Linked DNA regions of Styela clava. The protein of the gene in region 1 interacts with the protein of each later gene in a pairwise test. Links are inferred from orthologs where the notes say so. Each region holds a gene or a part of one and is shown in the gene's direction. Other genes may lie near its edges.

What was found. The genes of interacting proteins can lie anywhere in the genome.
Region 2: the proteins of ligand of Numb protein X 2-like (region 1) and E3 ubiquitin-protein ligase MYLIP-like interact in binary tests that used the Homo sapiens proteins (3 or more experiments, as listed by UniProt). The link is inferred for Styela clava from reciprocal best matches to the Homo sapiens genes LNX2 and MYLIP.
Region 3: the proteins of ligand of Numb protein X 2-like (region 1) and 60S ribosomal export protein NMD3-like interact in a two-hybrid assay, tested with the Homo sapiens proteins (3 studies listed by BioGRID and IntAct). The link is inferred for Styela clava from reciprocal best matches to the Homo sapiens genes LNX2 and NMD3.
Region 4: the proteins of ligand of Numb protein X 2-like (region 1) and dual specificity mitogen-activated protein kinase kinase 5-like interact in binary tests that used the Homo sapiens proteins (3 or more experiments, as listed by UniProt). The link is inferred for Styela clava from reciprocal best matches to the Homo sapiens genes LNX2 and MAP2K5.

What each region holds. Positions count from the first base shown.
Region 1 is NC_135258.1:3,219,737-3,227,606, forward strand, and holds the start of ligand of Numb protein X 2-like, read left to right. Parts: upstream 1-4,845; 5' UTR 4,846-5,293; coding exon 5,294-7,870.
Region 2 is NC_135262.1:4,060,298-4,068,175, reverse strand, and holds the start of E3 ubiquitin-protein ligase MYLIP-like, read left to right. Parts: upstream 1-4,861; 5' UTR 4,862-4,870; coding exon 4,871-4,920; intron 4,921-5,423; coding exon 5,424-5,616; intron 5,617-6,417; coding exon 6,418-6,608; intron 6,609-7,115; coding exon 7,116-7,307; intron 7,308-7,688; coding exon 7,689-7,878. UniProt on the Homo sapiens protein: E3 ubiquitin-protein ligase that mediates ubiquitination and subsequent proteasomal degradation of myosin regulatory light chain (MRLC), LDLR, VLDLR and LRP8. Activity depends on E2 enzymes of the UBE2D family.
Region 3 is NC_135257.1:11,931,596-11,938,518, reverse strand, and holds the start of 60S ribosomal export protein NMD3-like, read left to right. Parts: upstream 1-3,906; 5' UTR 3,907-6,158; coding exon 6,159-6,923. Other genes in the region: fructose-1,6-bisphosphatase 1-like, read right to left, coding at 710-916, 984-1,103, 1,175-1,312, 1,461-1,601, 2,036-2,128, 2,220-2,382, 2,479-2,648. UniProt on the Homo sapiens protein: Acts as an adapter for the XPO1/CRM1-mediated export of the 60S ribosomal subunit.
Region 4 is NC_135255.1:21,646,499-21,653,731, forward strand, and holds the start of dual specificity mitogen-activated protein kinase kinase 5-like, read left to right. Parts: upstream 1-4,216; 5' UTR 4,217-4,269; coding exon 4,270-5,628; 3' UTR 5,629-7,233. UniProt on the Homo sapiens protein: Acts as a scaffold for the formation of a ternary MAP3K2/MAP3K3-MAP3K5-MAPK7 signaling complex.

The sequences.
Region 1 (7,870 bases):
AAAATTTTTCGGTATCATACATCGCATGCACACTAGTACATACACAGCACCCTAGCTGATACGATCCAACTGAGAAATTAGAAATCTCAGAACCCCCCTCAAAACTCCTGGCAATGCCCCTGGCTCCGATATTCGCGGCGTAGGTATGTTACCAAGCTTTATGGTGACTCTGAAGAGACTAAAAAATATTTTATTTACTGTGAAATATTCATACTGGAAAATATTCAACAAGCTTACTATCCCGATTATTCAAAAATGGAAAACGAAGGCATTATTCTAGAGAAAAATATAAGGGATGCCATAAGCCCATAACATTGCATAAAATCTATGTTGCCTGTAACTAGAGAGGTACAAAGTATGCTGTTCATTAGCTATTTTGTGGAAATGAAACTCAAAAAAGTGCAGATAAGAATACAAGTTTTATCAGTTGATAAGATGAGGCAGAAATCATAAAAAATAATGATAGTACACAAATATTGATACACGATTATAGTAATACAAACACCTAGATTATAATAAAAATTCATTACTGAAAATATGAATATATAACCATAAAGAGAGTTGATTAGGATACTAACCATGATTTAGTGCAATAAGTCATGTATTGTTTTTACATTAATAAAAAAAAAAATGCTCGGTTAAACGTGAAGAGAATAAATCTCACCAAAAGTAAGGAAATTCATCAATTGGGCCCCACTGGCAATCAGTATCACTCAATACATACTCAAAATAAAGTTCAAATTTTTATCTGGCTTGTGGGAATCGAACTATTAAAAACACACTGAATCATAGTTTCCCTTGAGCAGCCAGTTTTATTCGCAGACTGTCTGGCATTTCTGGTGGTGGCGGGCGAGGTAAACGGAAATAAACTTTCACTGAATCATAAATAAACCACTGAAGGGCAGTGACAGTACCAATCATGATAATACGAGCTGTGAGACCTTTCCAAATTCCGACTGGCCCTAATTTTTTAAGAGCATCAAGTGGAGAGCTACCAGCGTCATTATTAAGTACAGACACAACCGAGTCAGGAGGATGGGACCCAATAGCGCAGAGTACACCTGCGATGTAACCAGCGACAAACGTAACAACCAGCTGCTCTGGCTTGCTGCATTCATCTCTCGGTTTTGGCACAACATACTTGTACATTGCCTCTACTGTTCTCTCAAAACAAGAGAATTTGATCATGGTATATGGAATTTGCCTCATCCAAAGTGGAGGTAAACCTTTGTAAAAGGCAGTAATACCCTCTTCTTTCCACATTTTAGGAAAAGCTTCACGTAAAGTATTTGCAAATCCTGGCTGAGTTTGAATTCGTACTTTACAAGCTTCCATCGGTGCCAAAGCTATATCGGCAAAAAATTCAGCAGAAGCACTTGCCGCCAAATATAAACTTGTTCTCCATAAATATGATTTTTCTTCACCCAATAAATTCCCATAAAAATTCTTAAAAACTTCATAAAATCCAAATTTGCCAAGTCCTTGCATTGAATAACCGATAAAAGTAGGTGCCCATCCTTTACCTAGGCCTCGAATGCCTTCTTCTTGTATAGAGACTCTAAAACCGCTGATAATCCCCCTGTATTTATCTGGCTCAACTTGTATTCTGCATTTCACCAAATCAAGAGGAACCATGGCAGTATGAGTTAGACCACAACTTAGAATCCCTCCGAAGCCACAGATGGCATAATATTTTGCCGATCCAAATTCACAACTATTGCCAGTTTCCTCTACTGATAGTATTCTTGTATCTGCAGGAACTTCAGAAAGTTCTGTGAATTTTGCCTTTTCCTGGCATATTGCTTTCATATTAGGCATGCCTAAGACATTCCCATTTAAAATTGAGTTGACCATATCTTTATTCCTGTATTCCGTATTTAAATACTGAAATACCAATATAGAAAAAAGGATAGATGTTAAGTTGAAAGGCAAACATAGGATTTTCATATTTATCTCAGCGTAGAGTGAACTGGAAAGTCAATAAGATTGCTGAATGTTAATCCAGTACCGTAACCATAGGCAAAGCAAAGTTTAAGGTGCATGTCATTTACTGTCTCAATTTCCCACAACTTTCACAAAAGGTTTCCGATTTTCTACAAGAACAACCACACAAACAAAATAACAGTAACTCTGTAACTGAGAATAACAGAAACTCTGTAACTTACCGTAACATAAATGTATGAGTATCATCGCCACTTATATATCTGTATATGCTGCCGATGTCTTCATTGTCTTTCTATATCGCCTTATTTGTGCAAGCCTATGATGTCATTCTGATGTAACGATGGTGCAATTTTGATGACGCGCGCCATTACGTCCTAACATACGTCACGAATTAGCGACGGTACTTTTCAAGTTCTTGGCGTTGAACAATTACCATAGCAGACCTGGGAGAATTGATTACTATCTTTGCTACACGACGTTCTGAACTTCTGACTAAAATGAAGTGCGGCTATACACGGATTAAACGCTATATGAAGTGTAAATACATGAGATTGCGACTGGGTAACGATAGTAATACACTTACCAAGGTACGGATGATTACGATACTGTAATTCACGCGTTTCGATTTGAAATGTAATTTGTTTCGATGGTACAGTATTATGCATATATAATAATTACGTATTATACAATATTTCACACTATCCAACACGGAATAAGTCAATCAATCAATCAATCGTTTATTTTGTCATCACAAAAAAACACGTTCAAACATAAAGTGACACGAGGAACTTATATGGTTTTACATAAGAATAGTGGTTATTATCGACGGTTACATATGGCCAATCCTATATATGACCCCCACAAAATTCTCAGAAGGCTGAAAAAGTCACCGTGCGATTGCATTTTGTTAAAATCACCGATTGTTTTTATCAGTGGGGCGTAGGCCGTAAACACCTTTACGTTTTTTTTTTTTTTTTTTGCCAAATTCAAATCCATTGCCAAATTGGATAAACCAAAACTATAATTTTTATAAAAACAATTTTACGTTGGTATTTATTCTCCTAAATCACAAATTGTTGTTGTTCCAAGAGCAAGATGATGATTGCTTTTTCGCACGGAATTTTGAGTAAACTGTAAAAAATGAGTTGTTATAGTGTATTCATCAGCGATGTGATGCTAAAGATGATAAAGGGTAAATAAAACGAAGGGAAACACAATGAGTTTTGTTTTAAGAGATCCGCGTAAATCGCACAATTTGTTTGGCTACCGTTGAAAATTTTTCAGCTTGGCAATATATTTTTCATAAAAGTACTGTTCACTCCCATTTATAAAATCGATCAATTCGGCAGTGGCAAACATTATAAATTTATTAATATGGTGTGGCAATCATGGATTAAATACTTTGCCCGTTCGGGATTTTAACGCAGACGCTTGGGTTTTTCCAACGGCGATATTTCAAAAATAATTTTGAGTAGCAGTCAGCGCTGAAAGAGAATAATTCAAAGTTGACACATCCCAAGGTTGCAAAAATTCGAATCCATCTATTCATAACCGGGTATAGTGTATCGCGTATTACATGTCCACAAATTTTCATAGTTTTTTAGAGTAGTCCTCCCTTTGTTTTACCGTAAGTCAACGCAAAGGCGATAATTATTCGCTGAAAAAATGTCTATTTTAAAGACTGGAGTAATCACGGCACTCGATTTAGAAGTTATTGCACGGGAATTTTTGAATTCCCATTTTGGAACCTACCTCATCATCATTCTCCCCGCCCCCCCCCCCATCATTTTTTTTTGTAATTCTGGCTACACCCCTATAGGGACCCGACACTCGAGTTTTTTTTTGTGCGAATTTCGTTCATGTAACGCTGGTCGGTTACGGCTTTTTCTATCATCAAGTCCACACATCTGAAAACAAATAACTGGCTTACTAATTCTATACCCGACAGGAACTGGTAGCTGGGCAAAAGGCCTCAAGTCAACTTTCTCATCTCTTGTATATTTATATTCTGTCCTAAACGATTTCTTTATGCACGAAATCGATGCTTGGAAAAACATTCATCGTGTTTGTCTGCTTTTTGAATTTATTTTTAATTTCGTTCAATCCCTTGGAAGCATTACTTTCATTATTGCTAATTGTTTTCAAATCTTTTCAGAGCTTTTCGAAAAATTTTGTTGATTTTGAAAAAATGTATTTTAAATACCTATATAAACAAGTTTTGTCTTCAGGGTTCTAGTCGGGACTGAAAACAAAGAACAGTTTTCGAATTACATTTTATTGAAAATTAACTTTATTGGAATAAAACTAATACAATGAAATATATTATAGTGAAAACAGGGAAGGGGAATTCTGATGTTATTTCAGGTTTCAGATAGTGCGCACGTCCGTCTTCCCACCGTTGATTTTCTACATTGTATGTACAGGTGCAAATCTTGTGGTTTGCGGCCATAACCGTATACGAAGTCGACATCTTATAAATATAATTAATAAAATTTAGCAAGTCATCGGCTGTTTTTTTTCCGCAGTGGAAAGATTATTTTTGATAGGAGTATTGTGAGAGGCGTGGTTTGGTTGATGACTTGAATTAGGCCTCAAGAGGTCGTGTGTGAGTCACCGAGAAATTACCTCCTCCCACGTACGACTCACAAGTTCGCCTTTTAGTTCAACATGGTTCAACCGCCTTAGTTAAGTTTTCTTTTTCATATTTGACTTCAACCTTCGAATCAGTAGACCCGGCAGATTTATGTAACTACTAATTATATTTCTAGAATGAGTACATATTGATGGTGTGTATTATGCAGTGTAGAGCAGACTATTATTTCCTTTAATGACGAGGAACACTTGAAGTTACCGGTATCTATGGATTTACATTGTTTACTTAGATACCGGTACCGCGATTGCGCGATACCGGTACCCCTATAAATAATGTTATCTGGAATGGCTGCTTATGGGGTCTGGTGTAGTTTAGTACCACATGTACTTCTAATTGGCTTGTGTCATCACTACGACGTTACTGTGACTTATCAAGCCCCTCCTGAACTAGATACAATTTATGCCAGTCCCACGATTTTTCAGTTTAAAATTTTTATTTTTTTTTAGTTGTGTTTTGTATTTATGGTATATTATTTCACCAATGTCTTTCATCTTTTTATATCTAACCATGGATAAGAATTCTGATATTTATTTTCATGTTTCTATAATTTGGATTGTACACAAGGAATTTAATTCTTGGTTGTAAGATAGAAAAATAAACGTATAAACATTTGTCTTTTTCACATCTTTCTAAAATTAGTTCCAACTGGGCTGTTTATTTTTTTCAAGTTATATATTATTATTCAGTAATCGTATTATGGAATACTCTTATCAAGCTCCTGATTGCTTGCCAGGACAGAACGATCTTATAGACTTCAGCTCAGATAGCAGCGTGGGCGTTCATAATCAAGAAGAGGGGGGTGAGATCGAATCCTCCAGTACTTTGACGAAAAATAGAAATCAAATTAATAGAGATGTAGTGGCTGTTAAAAGTGGGACTGGGGATATAGGGTTCGTCGCTGTCGGACGGCCGACCTCAGAAAATTCGATCTCAAAACAAAAGCATCGTAAAACACGATCGAACATCGAAAAAGAAAGCTATCACTCAGATTCGTCTCCTCGATGCCCTAGTAGTGGAATTGATAATCTCGGATACCAAACAATTTCAAGAAATGAATCGTATAGTTACGATGACACAGGACTTAGTTATTGCTCTGAACTTGAACGATGGGGAAATACTGAATTTTTGAACACAAATTTAAGTTCGTCTCAACCGGAGTATGTTTCTGTCGAAGGGGAACGTTATACTACAATCGATTATTCAAACGCTACTATCCAGCATGTCACAACCAATCAACCACGTAACGATAGAGGAGGACAATTTGTGGAGCTTCCAGAAACATCTGGACAGCGTACGCAAATTTCTGATACAAATCGATCGTCTCGTCAAGGACGTCAAACACCATCTAGTGATAGAGAGTCGTCCTATTCATCGCACTCGTCTCGTGGGAATTCACCAGTTGAAAACGAACCTAGTACTGAAATGAGGACATCTAGTGTCGAGAACAATGTAAACGAAACGACTCACAAAAGCACATCACCTGTACCTAAATCACCACCGTTATGCAAATGCTGTGGGCAGAATCACGGTGTTACGGAAAATCATGAATATAATTACGTCGACGAAGTTGATGAAGACCTGATGTGTGATATTTGTCTGCAACCACTGGTTGATCCCTACGATACAAAATGCGGACACACGTTCTGTTCTATTTGCATCAAAAATTATTTAAGAGTGAAACACATTTGTCCAGTAGATAGAGAAGAATTAACCAACACAGCAACAGACTGTTGGCAGTCAAGTCTAATTCTACGAAAACTAGTTAACAAATTAACAGTTACCTGTCCGCATGAGGAATATTGTGATAAAAAAATACAGCGCTGTGACCTTAAGGGCCATTTAAAGGAAATATGCCCAGGGGCCGTTTCACGGTGCCCTAAATCGATGTATGGCTGTGATCATAAAGGTCCAAGAGCTGGTATCGAAGCGCATTTGAAAATTTGTGCTTTCAAGGATAACAATGATAAGCTTTCAGATTTGCACCCTTTTTCGGAAGAAGTTGTCGTTGAATTGTTTCGACCAGAAGGTACAGCTGAGCTTGGATTGCTTATAGTCGGTGGTAGTGATACGCCGTTGCATTATATTATTGTTCAAGATATTTTACCGCAGAGTTTAGCGTTTCAAGATGGTCGTATTCATGTTGGTGACATTATAATGGAGATAAATGGAGAACCAATGTTTTCAGTAATGCATGCTGAAGCTCGTGCTGCGCTTACGAAGCCGTCTAATTTAATGAGGTTTATGTTGTTACGAGATGTGGACAATGAGGACCCCAGTGACAGCGTTGCTTCTTTAGTCAGAAAACCAAGCTCTTCTGCATATTATGAGGAATGTGTTGGCCTCATCAAACCTCCGCTTGAGCAGCTCGGGATTCGTATATCTTCTAGTGAAACCGGAGCGAAAGGTGTTTATATCATTGAACTAATCCCGGGTCAAGTTGCGGAATCGGACGGTCGTCTTCAAGTCGGAGACAGAATAATGAAAATTGGGAACACCGAAGTCGGTGATAGTACACCAGAACAAGCTGCTAGAGTTATCGGAAGTTGCGATAAAGAAGTAAAAATACTAGTTCGCCATCCGCTGGTTAAACCTACTATAGTCTGTAACGAATGGGCTCATGATTCAATAATACAAAGGCAGAAAAGTGCTTCAAATGATGCATCTACTTCAATGTCAAAATCCACGAATCCGTATTCGCCGCAGCAAAAGAAGTTGTCAAAATCATCCCACACGAAAAAAATAATTTCTGTCACAAAATCACCAAAGGAAAATTTAGGAATCATTGTTTCAGGAGGAAATGGGAGCCCTCGTGGAAATCTACCAATATTTGTTCAAGATGTTCTTTCCATGTCAGTATTAGGTAAAGACAAGCGAATACGTCGTGGCGACCTCCTTTCAGAAATAAACTCGATACGTTTAACTGGTCTCTCTCACACTCAAGCAATGAACGCATTACGGGAATCAGCTCAGCAAAGAGAAGTTACTCTCGTTGCTTACGAATTAGAATATGAAGGGAAAGCTGAAGACACAGCTTTATGGGATGAACTGACTTCTCTACATCAAAATCCAAGTAAATGGGCTCCATCTTGGAAAATGTGGCTCGCTGCTACACATGAGTTTTCATCGATACGCGAGGTGGTTTTACGGAAACCTTCTTCTACAAATTACGGATTTAAAATCACGGGAGGATTTACAGAAGAACATGGGCCATCCCCGATTTTTATTACGCATATTTCCAAAAATTCAAGCGCGAATAAATTCCTGAAATGCGGG
Region 2 (7,878 bases), on another chromosome or scaffold:
GTCGGTCATGGATTGTTGTATGGTCCCAAACGTCATTCGAATGGCCTCATCCGTAGAAGCCACTTTGGGCTTTGGGCTTATTTGACATAATGTCCACGGATGACGAACGAATATTATTCTGTTTTTGCTGCTCAATGACTTTGGTTAGAAGAATAATGTTTCCCCCGAAAAATACGTTGTCAGTATCAGAAGAAAACGAATAATTAAATTATCTGATTCCCGCTCCGTGTACCCCGTTACCAGAAAAATCTAGTGCTTGTTACGTTATTCCTACTGATACCAAATATCGATGACTACATTCAAAGGAGAAGTAGTGCTGTAGGAAGTGGGGTGTATTATTAAGTGTGAGAATTAGTAGGAAAAATGAAATAGACAAAGAGAAAGAACATAGAGCCCAATATAAAAAATCCTAGTACACCGCAATACATTTTGATTGACGAAATGATAAATCGCTCTTTTAGTATTATTAGGAATAACAATTTTTACCAAGGTCGTTAAAATTTGAAGTTGAGTATTTTGATACTAAATGAAATTGTCTAATTTGTTTTGACACTTTTATTCCAAAATTTCATGATCGTGCAGTTTTTGAAGTTCAGAAATCCGCAAATTGGATTAAATCACCAACGTAGATTACAAAATACGATTTCGCTAATTGCTAAATCCCCCGAAGCGAAAAAGTACTTCAAAGTTACGACGACGACGAAATTACCAGCTGATCGCTGTAAAGGGGATCACGGCAAAGTATCAAATTTAACAGTGCGTTGTCTAGCACCATAATCGACCAAGGGTGAATCGCAGTAACAGGGCGCGATTTATCACTCTCTCACATTCGGCATGGGATAATATATAACCTCTCGATTTCTGAATGAGGGAGATCGTTGTTTGTGATGAAACAAAGAAAATCATTGAAGCATGTACTGACTCATTTGTCTCGACAGTGTGAAATCTGCAAAATTGTTTTTCTGTTTTTTTGTTGTTAGCAAACTGTCGTTTGGAGCAGACGTGCTGCTGTCGCTGTCACATATATATATGAGGATATTTTGGAGTTTGGGAATGCTAGAAATATTTGTGGTAGAATTTCTAATATATAACATATGCGGATTCAATATTTCCAAAAGTAGACACAAGGCAAGAGTTCCACGTTCATAATTTGAGAGGAAATATATTATTTCGACATAGTGATATGACGAGCCATATTACCTCTTGCTCGGTACCGGTAACGGGTTCAGATCGTTTGACCAGTTAATTGAAGAACGTTCAAGAATATGGATTTTGTGGGTCAGCGTGTTTAACGAAATTGCAAAATTTTTCAAACGCTTTTGAGTTTGCATAATATTATGAACATGAAACTTTTCGCAAATAACAATATTTTTTCTGTGGTCTGTGACGTCACTCTCAGCACATCGTGGAAAACGAACAAAATATTTACAATGCGAGTGAGTTTGTGGCTTTGTTGTGTTACGAAGCATTTTATTTTGTTTGACAAGCGGTAAATATTTTCTATTTGTGCGGCCAACTAAAGGCGGTAGTGCCACAGGGGCTCTGTTTGGAATTTATAGTTTAATTATACATTTAGTGCAAGGTGTCCATAAAGTCCCCTTGCAATTTCAATTCTGTTTTGAAGTCAGTTTTCAATATATCTTAACCAGGTTTGTTGGTTTTTAATCAGTAATTGTTCTGGTATATATACTTTATTCATTACATTTGTGGTGGCATATGATATCGATAAATTCCCTTTGCAATTTTAAAATATTATTTCAGACTTTATGGACCCTACATATTGGTGTATGGCAATCTGTTAGTCTACGATTGTCATTACATGTTCTGAATGTTCATCTGGGTTACCAGTCGCATGTTCGCCTGTTTCTGGGACCTAATATGCTTTTATATTACGGTAAATGTTAAGACCTACGGTACTGATACTGAGAAAAATAGAGATTCATCCACTTATGCCTAGTAAAGGCGATTGATTGAAATATATTATTTATTAAACCTTGCTTGCGTTCCCTCGTTGACTTATTAAAATTTAACCTTCATAGGTTGTGAATTGTCGAGATAAGATCGAATAGAATTTCCTGTTTATCTTTCAATGTATATGAAAGTTGCAATAGCACTTTCTGATGTAATTTTTCATAAAGAAGAAAAATAAAACGCGATGGCTAGCCTACATGTTTCAATAAATACACTAAGAACAAGTTTTTCCAATACACCGAAATAAATTTATTTGAAAACAACAGCACCCATTAATTGTGCTCAGTGTTTGTTTACGCTTAAATAATGTTTTTATTTCGTACCAGAGTTGATTAAATTATCCGAAATGAAAGAAGATTTTTTTCAACCCATTTTCACACATATACCTGTGATATAAGGCCAATTTTAAATTGTGTTTCCCCAATACGAAGACCGGACACCGACCAACCATGTAATGTAATAATAATCATTTTCGTCTCCTCAATGTACTTGTGTATTAGAATATTTCGTTGTAAAATCATCTATTCAATGCAAAAATATAATAAAATTAAACTTCCGCAGTGAAGTTCAATAGAGGGTGTTTTCTATTAACACATATCCTCGTCGATTGAGTAATTTAAATATTGCTTCGTGTAAATTGATTATTTACAAGTCGAAATCAATGTCCCATTGCGCCGCAACACAAGTTTGACATGTTTTTCCTTGTTTTGAATTTCCGTAACTAACAGTTGGGGTTACGTGAAACTAACTACCTTTCCTTGCTCTATGGCTTTGTGCTGATGAATCCGTATGCGTATTACGCAAGGGTGCTATATAGCAAGAGTGTAAATGACTATTCTATTCAATTCAAGAGTCTTGCTGCACACTTACACAAATATATTTCTGTAACGTTTCGTCTGACCAAGGTCAGACTTCTACAGACAAGCATTTTACAACTATGACAAGAAACGCAATTGCATGCACATAAATAATGGCATCAAAATTTGGGTTAGAAAGAAATAACTAAGATTGGAACAGTGCCAGAACTCTAAAACCGAAATTTTGATACCATTTTTTATGTGCATGCAATTGCGTTTCTTGTCATAGTTGTAAACTGCTTGTCTGAAAAAGTCTGACCTTGGTCAGACGAAAAGTTACAGAAATATATTTGTGTAAGTGTGCATCAAGACTCTTGAATTAAATAGAATTTAAATTTCCGATTTAGAGAAAATTGATTTGTTGTTTATTTGATGGTTAATCGACGAAAGCCAAGTTGACGAGGTGCAGACGTGTTTCGTGGGCGGAATCAAGAACGACAACTTCGAGTAAATATGTTCGCCGTATCAGTATTAGTGTCTTATATTTCTTGTATAATCGATTTTAATCGAGAGCAAGCTTTTTACGGTACGTTTTCGCACATAAGTGTGTTTTTTATTGCCTCATTATTTTGTTATATTTCATGCTTGACCACCGTCATACGAATATTGCAATGATGGAATATCCCTGTCAATCATTTTTAGTACTATCATTTAAATTTCACATATTTTTGCCCAAACACGAATATCAAGAATTAAAAAAAATGATTGAAGAAAAATTTGAAGGAAGATTTTCGTGTACATTAGCCTTCCATCGCATCATACATACCGATACTAGAAACTTGTGCAAAATTGCAGTGTACGCTTATAAATAATGCGCAATATATGAGTACTGGATGAATGTTTATTGGAATACCTATGTGCCTTATACTATTATTTCATCATTATATACAATAAAACTGTAGTGAAACATGGACCATATGCAACTATCCGTATTGCATTGATGTGTGATGAACAATTCAGGTCAGGTATATCGTCACTTCCGGGATTATTGTCCATTCATCGTGTTTAATCGATGATTATTGAGTTGAGAGGCTACGGTTGGCCATTCGGCAGAGAATATTATTTTATGCAAACATTTTCTGACTTTAGGTTAAATGGGACTCTAAAAAGATTATACAAATAACCAATTTTCATCACCAAACCTTTTCAAAGAGTACATCGAAAGAAAATCTTACCTGATAATTGTGTGAGCAAAATAAATCGAGTGGAAAACCGCTAATAAAGCAGCGTCTTTGCGGAACTGGCGATTTGTACCATAGAGTAGCCTATCACTATTCCAAACGGGTTTTGCACGAACTCGCTTCCCCTAAAATAACGCCGAAAACTGGAATGGCGCAATCGTTTATATTGCTTTAATAACTTTTGATGGCATGTAATTGCCGGCATAACAAATTTGTTCGCTATATTGCCTGCAAATTTGGGTGTCGCATTTCAAACTTAACGCAGAAACCCGTTCTAAACAAATTTGATTTTGGTTGCATGTTATGAAGGAAGTATGATAAAAAAAATTTATTATTTTGGCGTGTGGTTAAGAATACTGGTGTTCAGGGCAAGCGATTTGGTTGAATTTGAAGCTCAAAAAAAATGCTTAAACTCAATTTAGTTTCGAATTCATAATTTGACGCATTATTGAATGTAAATTTACCGAATAATGTTCACAAATTGCTTTCATAAACAAATTTCGATTTTGCTCACAATTGCGTTACTGTTTAATACAGCGTTTTTGGTCGCCATTTTGCGGTACTTCAGATCTAGCAAACAACAGGTAATGCCATGTTTATTTAATATTAAAGAATTAATAAAAACGTCGAAATGACGACGGAATATACAGGTTTAAATATTAACAACGCGAAGGTTGCTTTCATACACTGAATCCTTGTAACCCAAACGAGAGAGGTTACTATCGTTCACAAAATTGGTAACCCTCGGTCATATCGATATGTTTCGCAAGTAATGTTACGTCACAGTACACGATTGACCAATCACAATGCGAGAATATTTCACAGCCAAACAAAACCAGCTGACGCTCCGCGATTCGGTAGATGAAAATGTTTCCCTCGGAAGGTCGGTGGCGGTCATCCCTCGCTCTTCGGTTAGTGATCGTTACTTGAAAAAAGTATCAAAAAGTGCGCTTTAGGCTGTAATATTACTAGCTAAGCTTAAATGGATAGTGATGTTGAAATAAAGACTATTCTGTAAAACTGTGGGCTGGTAAGCGTGTCAAATTACCAATTTCCTGTGACCGCGTCGGTTCAGCGCTGCAGCAAGTCAGTCGCGAGGTCTTTTGTTGCAACATGTGCGCGAAATTTGGCAACGGTCTAAGATAAATACACCTTGAATAAAGGGTTGAAATATTTGTGGTATTGTAACTTAGACAGACAAAAGGATGAAGGAATATCATTAAATATAGTATACCAGAATAGAGTGACGTGAAACAGTGAAAGGTAGCCTACCGTATGAATGCGAATTTGCGATTTTCTGTAGTTAAATGCGAGGGAATTGTCAAGAAAGTATGTAGTTAATGTAGCGACTTCATTGTCACTATATTAGTTACAAATATTATATTAAGTCAATTCAACACTGATTATTTTTCAGACAAAACTTACTTATTAAAGAATTTTTATCGAAAAAAACTTGCACAAGTGGTGCAAACATGAGTCTTCAATTAGATTTATACAATTGGCAATCTGGTCAGATACTGTGCTATGTGTCAAAACCTGACACTCGACCTGTTGTTCTGGAAGTTGATGTCGACAGACATGCAATTGGACAAGATATTTTAGAGAAGGTACGGTACTTGATTATTTTGTAACTAACTTTTGAAATAAACTTGATTATACCAATAGAAAAAAAGGGGTCTCGCGAAGTAAATGCCGTGACTGCTTGAATACCGCTGAACACAAATGTGATATTGAATGCTGTGAGTGCTTAAGTAACGCTAAACAAAAATGGAAATTGAAAATACAACCCAATTTTTTTTTAAATAAAAAATCGTCTCTCGCAAACACAATATCCCTGCTCAGTTGAAAATTGAGTAGGTTTGATTTGAACTAAACGTGTGTTTCAAGAGTTTCTTTCTGTGTCATACAGCCTTTTTTTAGTTACATTAATATTTCATAAATTATCATATTTACCTAGATATAATAAAGTGTAGAACTTCAGAAGCAGAATCTTTCAAATGTTTTCTCCAATTTTTGCTTTCTTTGAAATCTAGTATTTGAAAATTTGGAATTTTTATACCCAATTATTGCCAAAATAGTAGTATTTTATACTATATTATTATTAATATAGTATTAGTATAATATAATATAGTATAGTAATATTTTATTAGTAGCCTACTTCTATTTGAATAATTTGTTTGGCTTAAAAGTACAAAATGGCAACTCATTAAAAAGATGGAGAATTTTATATTAAGTTCATAAAAACATTTGATTCTAAAAGGAAAAGATGACTGTAATCTTCTGTAATAAGCAAGATATTGACAGTCATTTTTTTATTACTTCTCTTTGATTTTTTTGCTTTTGAATTTTAATCCCATATGATGAACAGCAAGCACTCTTGTAATAAATTATGCATATTAATTTCAAAGGTCTGCGATTTGATCGGCACCGTCGAAAAAGATTACTTTGGTCTTCAAGTATGTCCAGTCAAGCGTGAACCTTTCTGGATGAATCTCCGCAATAGGGTCATAGGTCAAATATCTGGTCAACCACCATATCGACTAAGATTGCGAGTGAAATACTACATTCAACCTCATCAGTTACTGCAGGAATCTACCAGGTTTGTGGATTTTTTTTGTTTTATATCAATTTATCAAGTATTCGACACCAAACCAAAATTACGATTTTGTCCTCTTTTCTCTGTTGGTTCTAGTTTTCAAGTGACAAATTTATTTCCATCAATTTATCAAATGATTAATTGGCAAAGCATAGTTGTTCAAAACATCCAATTACGGTATTCAAATGCATTTCTTCATATTGAATATTTTGAATTATTATTTCATTTGGAACATATCACTCACAGCTGTTTTAAACATACTGTTGTTTGGTTCATTCATTTTCCTAAACATGATTCAATATAAAAATCAACTAAAAAAGTTTTGTGGAATGCCAAACATGCTAATATTCAAAAGTTAAAAAGTAACCATTAGTGTAAATGTTTTTATATCATATCTTACATGAATTTATAAAAGGATTCAGGATTCCAAATACACTAATGCGAACTATCTAATTCTATACACAAATTTATAAAATTCGTCAACTAATGAAAAAAATGAAACTATTTCAGACAAATCTTCTATTATCAACTTCGCCAAGACGTCATAGACGGGAAGTTAACAGTTCCGCAAAACAAAATCCCTCAGCTTGCGGCGTACCTTGCACAAGTTGAACATGGGGATTGTTCTGCCATGGATTCAACGAATATCTATAAAAGTTTGAAGTTCGGGGACAAAGTTTTGACAGATGAAGATATTACTGGGTTAGTATCTAGCAGATTTGAAGACACTATATTTCTTGCTATATTAAACTGAACTAGCCCATTTGATTGAATCCTAGCTAAGATGGTAATCATTGAAAAAACATTATGATTGGTGTATTATTCACAGATTAGAATATTACAAATGTACTAATTAAAAGATATATTCAGTTTGAATTACCTGCTCAATTTTTGCGAGTTTGAGATCATTGATTAAACAGTATTTCGAGTGTTGTGATGAGTGTGGCTACTGGCCTAACTTTCACAATACTGTACCTAAAAATATTGTTAAATTTCATAACATAATTTCTGTTTGCCCTTTTTCAACAATATTAATTTTGTTATGGAATTGGTAGTTTAAGTAAAGAAATATTTATTTTTCAGAATTGCTGATTTTCACAAATCATTAGAAGGACAAACACAATCTCGAGCCATGTACTTTTTCTTGAAAGAGGCAGCAGATTTGCCAAGTTATGGGACAGAGGTTTTCAATGGTAAAATTGAAGTACCGCACTCCCACCCTCATATGCCAAATCTCTCTCCTGCAGACACAACCAATGTTTTGATGAGAATT
Region 3 (6,923 bases), on another chromosome or scaffold:
ACTGGTAAGCAAGTATGAGATTCCTAGACACTCTAATGCTAATACAACTATTGACGGACAATATGAATTTTATGATACGTCGGGAGAGGTGTTCCACAGGATGTAAGATAGCAGAGAAATCGATCCCCAAACATACACCCTGCTTAATTTTTTGCCATTCTCTAATTGTGCTTAATAGTGGGTGTGCAGGTTAATATTCAGTAGTTATTTCACATCAACTGGGAAGCATCAAGCCACATTTATATGGCTTCATCTCTGTGAACTTTGTCAGATAAGAGTCCAGGTCTTATCTTGCCCAAATATTTGCTAAACCAACTGCTGCTTGTTCCTTGACATGTGGCCTTGTAGTTAATGAGTTCTGTTATCATTTCGTCAATTGTGGATTTGCAGCAGACTTGCCAATAATACTTCAAGGTGGAACAAGTCATTCACTGTAAATTTCTGCTGCAAAAAGCCAACTTGTAGCCGAAGATGCAATTTCTATCACCTATATCTTCATCTTAATTAAGCTACTACATATGACAATTGGCAGGTTGGATATTTATTGAATGGTTAATAAGAAATATATAAGTCATAAGCGCACAATTACTGCTTGAATGAAATTAAGGCACTATTCAAGGCAAATATTCACTCCTGTTTTACCATTATATGAAACTATGCTACTATCACATATCATGTCAGGTTTGTAGAGGTAAAGAGAAATTAGAGATTATTTTTCATTAGCGACATAATTTTTGTGTTTTTTCACAATTTCCAAGTATTCATCAACGTCATCAGGTGACCCCAAGAAAACTGGGACTCTTTGATGAATGTTTTCTGGGACTATATCCATAATACGTTGGTGTCCAGTAGTTGCCTTTCCACCAGCTCTCTCCAGTACATAAGCCATGGGTCCAGCCTCATACAGAAGACGTAGCTGAAAAGCACACACAACATATAAAAGAGCTGAAACAGAGTATGTAAATCTCAATTGTAAATATTACCTTTCCGTTTGGGCTCTGGCTGTGTGCTGGATAAGCAAATACGCCACCATAAACCAGAGTCCTGTGTACATCTGCTACCATTGAACCAATGTAGCGAGCATTGTACGGTTTACCACCATCCTGTAAGTAAGCAAATAGTTATAATACTTTGATGAAAAAGTCATAATTTATAACATAATAAAAATTGTTACCTGTGGAAACTTCTTCCTGTCAACATATTCCTTTATAGCAGGATCCCAGTACTTCGTATATCCTTCATTGATGCTGAAATATTTTCCTTTCTTTTTGATTTTGATATCTTTCTGTGTTAATATGAATTCACCAATACTCTAAATTAAAACAGAAAATCAGTTTTGCATGTGTTTTCAACCTAATATATTGAAAAAGTAAATACCCATTTCATGGCACACCTTACCAAACACTACAGTCAAGAGTTTTAAACAAACACACAAGATGATCAAATTGTACGAATCTTACAGGATCCAACATGAACATGTCCACTGATAGCTCTGTTGCAATCACAATGACAGTAGCACTTCCATAAAGTGCATAACCAGCTGCCACCAAATTATTTCCAGGCTGAAGAGCATCAGCGGCAGTAGGTGGTCCATCAGAAGCCTAAAAGCAAATTAAGAAATGGGAATAGTTTACACAGTATTATTGACCATAGGTTCTCAAAGTACTCCGTAAGAGAAAACTTGGGGCTATGCAAGCTATTCATTTGATTATTAAAATACTGAATATTTTTCAAATACAAAGCAGTAAGTACATCAGAATCATCAAATAAAGTAATTTTTGTTTACTCAGGGACATTAATCAGTAAATAAAAACGCGTTCTTATAAATTAATTGCGGGGCTCCGTTAATACTACTCAACCACTGCAAGGGCTCCGTAACACCAGAAGCTTGAGAATACCTGTTGATTGGGGTTGTTACTCTCATTACTTGATGAACTGAACATATTCATTATTATTATAATGTCACATAACCATAAGTCTTCCAAACCACTTTGATATTATCCTCCGACCAAAATATAAATCTTGTTCTACTCACCTTTTTAAATATACCAAATATTGTTCCGATGGATACCAGGCAATCTATATTTGATGAGCCATCCAGAGGATCAAATGTCACAATATATTTTCCCTGTGAAAAGATGTTGATTAAAATTTATACTTTGGTAGTATTAATCTAGTTTTCAGAAACAGTAGGCAAGGTCATAAATTTCAGTCCTTACATGCTTTTTTAAATCAACTTCAACCACATTATCGTTTTCCTCGGAGACCATCAGACATGTACTGTAAGATGACCTGAGCAAATTCACCATCAAATCATTAGCAAGTACATCGAGCTTTTTCTGTTGATCACCAGTTGCATTTTCCGTACCTGATATGCCATATCTGTGAAATACAAGGACATGAAATTTTACTTATCACAAGTTCATCTGTTTACAAATACATAAGAATTCTTGAAAACACAGAAATACCAATACTTACAAGTTTGCAATTCCAGCCCTTCTTACAGCTGCAGAGATAGCTTTCACAGCAGTACAAATGCTATTCAATAATTGTGACAATTCACCAGTTCCGCCAGCTTTTCTACCACTTTCATTTATATGCCTTGTCAGAATACAAGGATCTGTGTCCAATTGCGTTTCAGTTGACATTGCTTCTGTATTTATTAACTAGCAGCTATTGCACCGATAGCTAAAGAGTTAGAAAAGTACTTTAAAGCTAAATGGAAAAATGTGTAATTGAATAGATCATAATTTAGTAATTAGATTTGATTTGGCTTTACCCTACACGAATTCATGATTTATGTAAGCTTATTCCAGTATGATAAATTATTCCCAAGACAGCAATATTTGATTGGCCACAAATTCAAATGAAGTCTGAAAGTGGTCCTGCCCACCTTCTCATGCTCATGCACTCAACTTTGATTGGACAATTTCGCATTTGACTCAAATATAATATCGTGACAACATTTCATTTATAAATATTTTATTTATTAATCACTCTTATTTACAAAATCGATATTCAATTTAGCAACTGTTATAAAATTATTAATATGGCATGGCAAATAATTTTTATGTGATTTATTTTAAGTTTTTCCTGATTTCCTAACTCCATTGTGAGTTATTACTCTGTGGTTGTGCATGGGAATGTGTGTGTGTAAATTTATTTGATAATTTTAGATGAGTGAACATGCATGACATTTCATTTTGGCAAAACCCTGACACTTGCAGACTTAAGGTTTTCATTGCTCTCCTAATTCTATTTCTGTATTTATTTGTTATCAATTATATCCCCGCCTTTTATGCTGATTATGGGGTCGGAAAAAATTAATACTAATGTGTGTATGTCAGTACTGCAGTAGGCATATACAATCTTGACACTTTGACTAACACACTCACAGTTATCAAAAGTTAACTCTTCAACTGTTTATGGCAATAGAATTCCCAGATTGTGGATGAATATACGTTAGGGATAAAGCTCTGGTGCTACACTAATCACTTAACTAATTACTGAATTACGTACCGTATCGTAGCATTTGAATTCACAATCAACGGTCTCGTAAATCATCAAATTACTGCGAGCAGTCTAAATCTGGAACCTTTTCTGCTCTATGTAAAACGAACGCATAAACCGAATTTTGTTTAGATAACAACAACACTGACACAGGACAGCATTTGATCATCGTAGGTTGAACATTATGATGTAACTATGCTGCATTCGAATTTCCAAGCATCACGTATACTTTAGCGATTTCGCAACCGGTTGACTAAATCATCAATGATATCATCCAATCAGGTTCTCCGTAAGAGACGCGCCCATAAAATATTGTCCAATCACCGAGGAAAAGTTAGACAGTGGCAAACAGAGTCTGGCAGGGAGGCGTGTTTAATTAACGTGGACTCGCCGGTCATGTTTAGTTGACCCACAAACGAGAGTTTAATTTTTAACGATTGGTTAAAAATTGTAGTGACGGATATCGATAACCATAGATAAGTAATTTGGTAATCACACCCGATGTCAAACTTATCCCTCTTATGTAGAATTAGAAAATACGGTACCGGTACCGGTAATAGACAAAAATTCACGTCAAAATTGCCGTTCACAATGACTCGGCATGAAGTTTTTATATGTCATGATTTGATAATAAATCAAATTAATCAATCCATAAAAAGTGGAAATAAGAAAATTGTTTGAATATCAATACTGTAGTACAGTACAGACCGACTGAAACATGGGGTCCAATTTACAAATAACACATGGCTTGTTTGTTAGGGTGGCTGAAAAATGTGCTCTATTAAGATATATTTCAAATTGCCTATTAATAATAGTGTATCCCATGTTTTTTCTCTCAGAAATACTATGGAACTATAATCAACATTCTGGCTAAAATGTGTTTTTTTGTGTAAAAAAATAAATATTATTGAGCGATTCCATTCGATATCAGATTTAGATATATAAGGACTCTCCATAGAACTGCCAGAAGCACAAGATGAAGTAATTTAGTCAAGATATAGACGATTAAAAATTTCATCCGAAGTTACAAACCATCGGAAGTTACCTGCTTTTACGGTACAACATCACTGAAACTGATTTAATTCAAGAAAAGCATAGACATTTATATACGGTAATAAAATTGTTAATAATTCGAAGGGTGAAGATAGAATTGTTTTTTTGAGAGATGGTAATTTTATAGGGGCTTGTTCAAATATACATTCTAAAATTTTGGCCAATAATGTAAAGATTTTCAATTATAAATTAATGTGGGACATTTTATCAATCAAAGTTAAGCCAAGAATAAGACATATTTCTGGGGATAATATTTGTGTGTTATGTAAATAAGATTCTGAATTTGTGTCTCATTTGTTTTGGAATTGTTTTTAAACAGAATGTCTATGATTATATCTTTTCTGTGGCATTAAAAATGAGAAACTGTGTGATGAAAAATATTTATAAAACTTGCATTTTATTGGACTTAAATGATCACTGTTATTCAAATTTATCCATTATACAACGTAACTCTAATATATTGTTATTTTGTACAGCAAGATATAAAATTTGGTTGGAGTGTAATGCTGTGATATTTCAAAATCATAACCTAAGCATAAATAATGTTATTACGGTATGAAAATTAGGAACTCACTTATAATGAGAAGAAATATAGAAAAAGGGAGAAAGGAATTTTGTTATATAAAAGAACTTGCCATGATATGTAATAAATTGTGACGGATTCTAAAATTAAGTTTTTTTATGCTAAATAATTAAAAATAAACGATGTAATTTGTATTACGAAATCAACGAATGAATTATTGGAACTCCCTGGATTATATGGAATATTACATCTGATGGAATTATCTTGATATTACTGATATATATGTTTCTTCACTTTTAGTACACAAGATGTCTTAACATATATTTAATTTATATATTATTTACTTATTGAATAATCTACATTGTGGATCCATTTGAAGAAAAAAAAATGCATGCATTTTCTAATTATATGCATAATAATGTTAATGTGTTTTTTGGTATAATGGTATAGTAACAGTATGTCTGTAAGTTTGTTTAATTTTAGGTCCAACGCAGTGCTATAAAACTGTAAAAAGTAATGACCTGTTGTAACCCAGCTAATGCAGTTCTGCAGTTAGGCTATGACAGATAATTCCTTTGAACACTATTTTACTATGTGTTCATTTCACATGGATGATGTTTGTTAGTGGTGTTTGTTTTTGAAGCAACTTTTATTTTGTACATTCTCATATGGTTTTCTGGTTTTGGTGTAATATTAACCAAAAAATTTAGCAGACTAAACCTAATTAGGGAGTAGATGAGATATGTACTAATATTTGTAAATAAATTTAAATTTTTAATTGAACTTCTTATTGACTTGAAGTTATTATGTATGAACTTAATCTTACCGAAGTCTGACATATTTACATATGTATGCACATCTCAAGTTTATAAACATGTAAATTGTTGGGCATGATTTAGAAAATATATAGTGAGAGGTAGGAAATAATATATGTATTTGAAAATATTATTTTTGAAATATTCCGTAGACTTTTAGTCATTCCTGGCAATATCTATTATCTGAATTACCAGTAACACATTTTCTTTAGGAATCACACATGATCAAATATAAGTAATTTAATTTGAACCTGAAAATGGAAACAATGAGTGAAATGCCCTCAACCCAAACAATGGACACAATATTGTGTTGTGATTGCGGCATTCCTATACAACCCAATCCAAGTAATACATGTGTCGACTGCCTTCGTTCTCGTGTTGATATTACTGATGGTATACCAAAGTCTGGAAATTTGCTAATGTGCAGGAATTGTGAAAGATATCATTCTCCTCCCAATGCTTGGACAAAGGCAGCTCTTGAATCGCGAGAACTACTCGCAATTTGTTTAAAACGGCTCAAGTCAACGCTGTCAAAAGTACGTTTGGTGGATGCTGCATTTGTTTGGACTGAACCCCATTCTAAACGAATTAAAGTTAAAATTGCTATTCAAAAAGAAGTTGATGGTGGCACATTCTTACAGCAAACTTTTGTCGTCGAATTTGTTATTCATAATCATATGTGCAATGACTGCCATAGGATAGAAGCAAAAGATTTCTGGAATTCTGTTGTACAAGCTAGACAAAAGACAACGCATAAGAAGACATTTTATTATTTGGAACAAATTATTCTGAAACATAAAATGCACTCTACATGTACGAAGCTATCTGAAAATCCAAATGGGCTTGATTTCTTCTATTCATCTAAACAAGATGCCAGAAAATTTACTGATTTTCTTATGAGCATGTTGCCTTGTCGTTACCAGTCAGCACAGCAGTTAATTTCGCATGATGTCCATACAAGTACCTATAACTATAAAACTACTTTTTCTGTTGAAATCCCTCCAGTCTGTAAGGATGATATT
Region 4 (7,233 bases), on another chromosome or scaffold:
TCATGGGGGGAAAAATTAAGTCCAAAAGATTGTAATTTCAATAAAATTATTTTACTATCAGTTGGGGTTACGCGAGACTAACTCCCTACGCTTCCTTTGTGTCTTTAAGGGGATGGATCTGTGTGCGTGCAATGCAAGGGTACTATAGTAAGAATGAAATTACTCTACAGTAATGCATTTTTGTTAGTATGCATCAACCCTCTTGAATCACAGTATATTATTTTTATACGACATTTCAATGTTGTTGTGTGTTTTGAATCAGTTGGGGTTACGCGAGACGAACTCCCTATCCCTTCCTTTGTGGCTTTGTGCTATTGCATTGGATATGCGATTTGTAAAGATGCTGTAGCACAGTGGTTCCCAACCTGTTATGGCTCTCTTACGAAGGCTTTTAGCACTCATGGCTCACTGTTTATCATTCCAGTGGTATATATGGTGTTGTTTTGATTGGTAGATTCCAAATCCCATTATGTCCGAACAATTCAAGCTCAACAAAGTTAAAACACCCTGGGAAATAACGTTATCGAGTAATGAAACTAGGATGAATAGAGAAGTTTTCTTGTCAATTTATTTCTTATTTGTGTTAAATTTATTTTTGTTAGTATGCAGCAAGACTCTTGAATCACAGTATATTATTTTTATGTACGACATTCAAGTATGTTGTGTGTATTGAATTTGGCATAAAAGATTTGATTAACCTGATATGATGTAACACTTGTCCAAATATTTTGATCCTAATGTGAACGTACTGATGCCGCTTGTTTTTGATTTCTTGGTTTGGTTGAAATCAGTTGGCTAGACTCATGACTATCAGTGCCATATTTGAGTCAAAATTTTATCCTCTTTTTTTTTGTTGATAATGCTTTGATGAGATGGAAGCTTATTATACTGTTGTTAATTGAAAAATTATGGGCAAGATATTGCTTTTCTTACAAATTTATTTGAAGTAGGGGTCACACTCTGTTATTAAGATCAGTGGTTCCCGAACCGCAGTCAGCAGGCCAATTACGGCCCTAGTATCGATTTAACATGGCCCGCTGAACTCAAGTGAAATAATTGAACACTTTCTGTTTTTACGTTCTGGATACCGCCAATTGTTACATCATTATTATTATTAAAAGAATTATGCAAAAAATTTGGAGTAAAAATCCCTGGGGAGGTGGAAAAATTAACTTTCGATATAGACATAACCGACATGGATATTAATAATAATACGGACGAAGAGAGTTCAGATGAAGAATTAGAAGACATGGACGCTCTCGGATTAGACGATTAAGCACATGTATATTCGTGACAATTCAATTACACTTTCCAATTAATTATAAGTAACAGAGCCAGTATCACCCCTTGCGGGCGTTTTTCTATTTCGGCCTGTGAATATCCTTCCGTCTCTAATTTTGGCCGCGGTCAATCAGCTTTGGAAACCACTGGTTTAGATCGGGGGTGTGCAACCTTTTTCATTAGCGGGCCAAATACAATTAACTGGGTGAATCTGCGGGCGAACTTTTATTTAATTTAGACTTTCCAGTAGTTGCAAGCACAAAAATCGTTTATTTTTGCTAGTGATCTTACGGCATTACTAGGGATTCTTGCACAAATAGTGAGTTGAAACGCACATTTGACTTTATTGTCACACCGACTTTAAACCCATTCAGTGAGAAACACGTTTTTGTAATAGGACCTATATCGTGTATTTTGCAACAGAATTTCGCTAGCTTGTTTTGCTAAAAGGACTGGTATAGGCTTTGCGACGACGGAGGATGAATACTCGTTTTGCGGGCACACCATTTAGAATTGTTAATTCTTCACGGGCCGCACAATTTTTCCTTGCGGGCCGCATTTGGCCCACCCCTGGTTTAGATAATATAAAAGAGTTTAAGCAGATTTATCACTCGATGCATTTAAATATCTCCGTCCTTGCAGCATTTGAAACATATGCTAGTTGTATAATTCAGCAGAATCACACAGAGTTTTTATTTTGCTCAGTTTTGTGTGTTCGTCTTTTTTCTTATGCTCATCGCTTTTTTTCTGTAAATTTTATAAGCTATATTCAAGACATTTTTATTTTTTCCCTTCGTTTTGATACTGCAGGTGGCAAAACAGTATTTTCCAATTGATATGTTTGTGCATGAACGAGTTAGGTCATGCCTAAATGAGTTTGGTCATGCATGAATGAGTTGGCTCATGCGTGAATGATTAAGGCCATAGGGATAAGTCTACTTATTTAATTTCATCCCCTCCATGGTAAATATTAAAAACCCATCTTATCCTTTATTCTTGTGAATACTACTGAAATCAGTAATTTGTCATTTTGATAATTCATGCGTGACTGTTGACATGATATGCATCACTGCTTATATTTCTCATTTTTTTTGCTGCTTTTTCAAGTAATGTTTTTGATATTTCTATTATTTTTATTTTTAAATTGATTACTGAGACCTGAAAATTTCAATTCGTCTTGGGGACTCTTGAGAAAGTGATCTGTGTTAATTTGCTTATTGTATATTTTTTTAAAAACATTTCTTTGAACGGCTATCATTTTACTTACACTTTTTTGTCATTTTTTAGGGAAAAATAACATGTTTAATATCTGAGTCCAAATAAATTACCCCAATTAGATCATATTTGCCAAATTTTATTTGATAAAATTCAATATTTGTGATAATTTGATATAACTCTAAACTTCGGACCCTTTCTCCTATTCCAATTGCCAAGTTAGACTGTAGCAGCTGGCTGGCTCGGAAACATGGAAGTTTAAAAAGCGTTTCAAGCAAAAAAATTACTATGTATAATACAGAATCTTTTTTTTTCCCTTTTGAAATGGCGGAGGGGGGGGGGGGGGGGGAGAAACCTACAAACCTCCATCCCCCCCTGGGTAAGTCCCTGGCTCCTGAATTCATTATAGCCCCTACATAACAGTGGTTGCTTGTCTAAGCCTTGTTCAGAGTGACAAAAGTGTGAAAAACAATATTTTTTATTTGTCTTGTGACTTGTCTTTATTCATGCTGATGTAATACTTCCATTGCTCTATTTTATCTTCATTCTTTCACAGTCAGCTTTTGTCACTTTAAGAGTCGTCCATCTCTTGCTAATAGATTGATTTCCCCATATTTCCGACTGAGTGCGCATGATTTTACTTTGGGCAAATTTCCTTATAAAAAGAAAAAAATTGCGAAGGGAAATTATCGATGCCTTATGTAGTTTGTTTGCAGGCATATTAATGAGGTAAACACTGATTATAATAAAACAAACCTGGTTATCAAGATATATTGAAAAATGACTTCATAACAAAATCATTTTAGGATTTTTGAACATTCCGCTCATTGTATGGTCTAAGTTTACTTTAGTACAATGTGACTTCATCCTTGTTAAAATTCATTCAAGCACAAACTGGCAGCATTGGTACTCTTCCTTTGGGATAAGATTGTTCCGACTGGGCACGCTTCATTAATTCACAGGGGGATATGGGTTTAAATTGTTCCAGGGTAGTCTATTTCCTTATTATTTGCTATAATTTTTGCCGATATGCTATTTCAGTATTGTGTGTTTTAATTGTGTAAATGTCTTTTCAATTTAGATTCCCTAAATTAGAATTTAGAGTTAGTAATAAAGTTAAAACTACCGTATATATGGACTATCAGTTCTTCTTCAATATTGGAAGTCCATCACAGAGCAGTAGTTATCAATCTTTTTATTGGACTGGAATCTCAATGAATCAATCCAGAGGCTCAAGGAATATCTGTTGTATTCAAGTCAAGTTTCTTTTTTCCAACCAGTAAAAAAACACCACTCGAGCACAAATTACGAGAAAACGAGAATTATCCATTTTTACTGGGTAAGGGTAGTTGCAGAGTACCAAAGCTTGTTACCAAGCAAGGTTCTAATATCTAATTTGAAAAGTTTGGAATTACTGAAACTGGCTTCAAGACAGTTTACCGTATGAATTATCGGTATTTCTGTAATGTGTGTACCAGGTTAGGGTTAGGCCATAATTTTATTTCGATTTTCTTTATTTTAGTTCTATTACGAGTTCAAGGACTGTCTGTGTAAGCCGAGTGAATATACCTCCTGCTCATAGGTTTCAGTCCTTTTACACAACTTGATGTAAAGTAGGCGAACAAAACTAGTTACCTTCATATTGGTACACACACTTCTGGAGCGCCGAATTATATAACTTACATTGCTCACTAGAAATTATATTTTTATATATGTATTTATCTTCTATTTTTAAGATGATATGAATTATCTAATCTACCAGTAATATTGATAATGTTGATAAGGATTTCGTTTAGAGATGGAAAGCAAATTGATTGGATCGTTGAATCACCGGAGAATGTTACGTTCAGTGATTTTCTTGATGCGATTTATCAAGCCAGTGATGACCAATTGATTGTGTCAGCGTTTGAGTACGCTGATGAGGAGGAAGATATAATAACGGTGAAAAATCAAGGCGATCTGGACTCAATGATTGAATTTTATCGAAGCCAAGATGAAGAGAGAATAACTATTCGTCCAAAACTTTGCAAAAACCCCGGGAATCGTAACAAATTTGGTCTCAAGCTTGAAATTGCGCCGTCAAAACGACTCATCGCGCAGAATGCTGTTTCCTCGACACAACAATCAACCTCAAATTCTTCAAAATTACAGACCCAATCAAGCGCAACTGCTGCCGAACAAAACTACCAGCAACAATACAGAATTCCGGAATCAGATACTGAGGGTATAAATGAAAATAAAAAAGAGCTTCATGAAATGGAGGGGCTGTCCAGTCGAGCATTATCTTACGTAGAAACATTGGGAAATGGAAACAGCGGAATTGTCTACAAAGTAATTCACAAAGCGTCGAGGATTGTGATGGCTGTTAAGTCTATTGGAATTGATTTAACAGGCGAAGAACAGAACCGAATAAAGTCAGAATTGGAAATTTTAAGCCAATGTAATAGTTCCCCGCAGATTATAGACTTTTATGGGGCTTTTTCGCACGAAAATAAAATATTTTTATGCACTGAATTCATGGACGGAGGTTCATTGGACCGTTTTGGGAAGATACCAGAAGTTGTTCTAAAGCGTATCGCTCACCGGGTAGTATCGGGGTTAAAATTTTTATGGGGGAGAAAAATAATGCATAGAGACGTGAAGCCTTCAAATATGTTGGTGAACAGTAACGGACAAGTAAAATTATGCGATTTTGGCGTCAGCCGTCAGCTTGTGAACTCAATTGCTAAAACTTATATCGGTACGAACGCCTACATGGCTCCCGAAAGGGTCGAAGGTTTTGATTATACTTTTTACTCGGACATTTGGAGCTTAGGGTTATCCATATGTGAAATGGCAACAGGGGAATACCCCTACCCAGAATTAGCTATGAAAATTCGCAGCTCAGGAGGGGTGGTACCAATGGAAATTTTACAATGTATCGTAAACGCAGCCCCACCACAATTACCAACGGACAAATTTTCTTCTCAAATTGTCGACTTCGTTAACGGCTGTCTACAAAAAGAAGCGAAATCTCGCCCGTCTCCTGATGTTTTGTCCCAACATTCATTTCTTCAAATCAGTCAAATTCTCGACCACGAAGATCAAGTCATTGCCAATTGGGTTGAGCAGAATAAAGCAAAATCAAAGTAAAGTTGCACGATGATATTTTTTTTACTAGTTTTCTCTGGATTACCTTAAATATGATTTTAATTTGTTTCTCATTTTTTATAATTTTGGTATAAAGTAGGATTTATGTTCAAAGCTGTCATGATCGGCAATTCTCAACTATTCTTTCTGCGGCGGTTTGAACCCTGGCTCTGTTGCTAAAAAGAACCACTGGTCAGGATATTTTGATTAAAAAAAAAACAAAGGCCTTTTTCAAAATTCAGAAAATCAGAATTATTTTTTTTTGCTATTTTTGCTCATTAGGTTTTGGCATTTGTTGTCGCTCATAATTTTGCTCAGATATGAGTCATTTTTCCTACCGAGTGAGCGTACATCACAACGAGCAAATTCTCTCAAGATTATTATTTTATCAGAGTTCTTAAAAAATTTTTACTCAGAGTCTCTTCATGATTATGCAAATTTCATAAAGTAAAATTAGCTTGTTTTAGCCTCCTAATTTTCTTCGACTTTTTTTTTCTCTTAGACTAGGTTTGAAGGCGGGACGATAACCTAACTTACCCTGATCTGATCTAATATAAGTCATTTTCCCCACTAATTTTCTGATTTATTTTCTTAGATAAGGTTGAAAAGTGGTTCTCAACCTTTTTTTGTGGCCCATTTTCTTTGCCTAAAATTCGATGACAGCACATTTGAACCCATACATTTTCATCCGCGGCAGGTTCAATCTATATGCGGGTGCTAAAACCCATGGGTTAGGGTTAGTATGGGTTCAAATATCCATAAAACGAAAAATATTTCCATAGGTGCAATAGTATGCAGGTGCAATTGTCGTGGGTTCAAATTATGGGTTCAAATTATGGGTTCAAATATAGGGAAACCTAAAATTCATGTGGTCCATCAACTTTTTATTGCAAATGAAAAACTACGAGAATAAAACGAATTTTTTTTGCAAAAATGGATAATTTCAATTTAATAATTAGAATGACATATACCATTCAGTAGCAGAAAACAGCACGATCAATCATTGGTACTACAATTAAAATTAACAATAGTGACACAAATCAGATTATCAATTTTTGGTTGTTTTGTGGCCTAACTCGAAATCTTTCTGCGGCCAAGGAGTGGGCCATAGCTCATTGGTTGAGAAATGGGGACCTAACATAAGACAGACATTAGACACTATTTTATTTTCTGATCTGTTTTTTGGGCTCTGTTCAGTAGTAGTAGAATGACATGACAGTTTCAGGTTAGGATAAGTTAGGTTATCACCTCGCATACTAAGTCATCATATATGCACTTGCTGTATATTTGCTATACAATCACTTTTTCTATATTTTCGTTTGTTTTTTTGCTCTGAATCCCCCCACAGAATTCGAACGTTCGAATCAAGCAGGGTAATCAGAGATGCGCCGGCAAGCGTATCCCTAACACTCAACACGATGCGCCACACCGTCAAGCTCAACTAATCACCGCCGATAATTTATTCCATCTCTCCCCCTCTTTAGTAACTTGACAGATTTGAAATTATCAAAATAAACACTATGAATGAATTTTGGACAACAATTATAATTTTTTTGTAATATATTTTAAAGTGTTTGAGTTGCAGCTTAGATTATAGTGCCCTTTTAT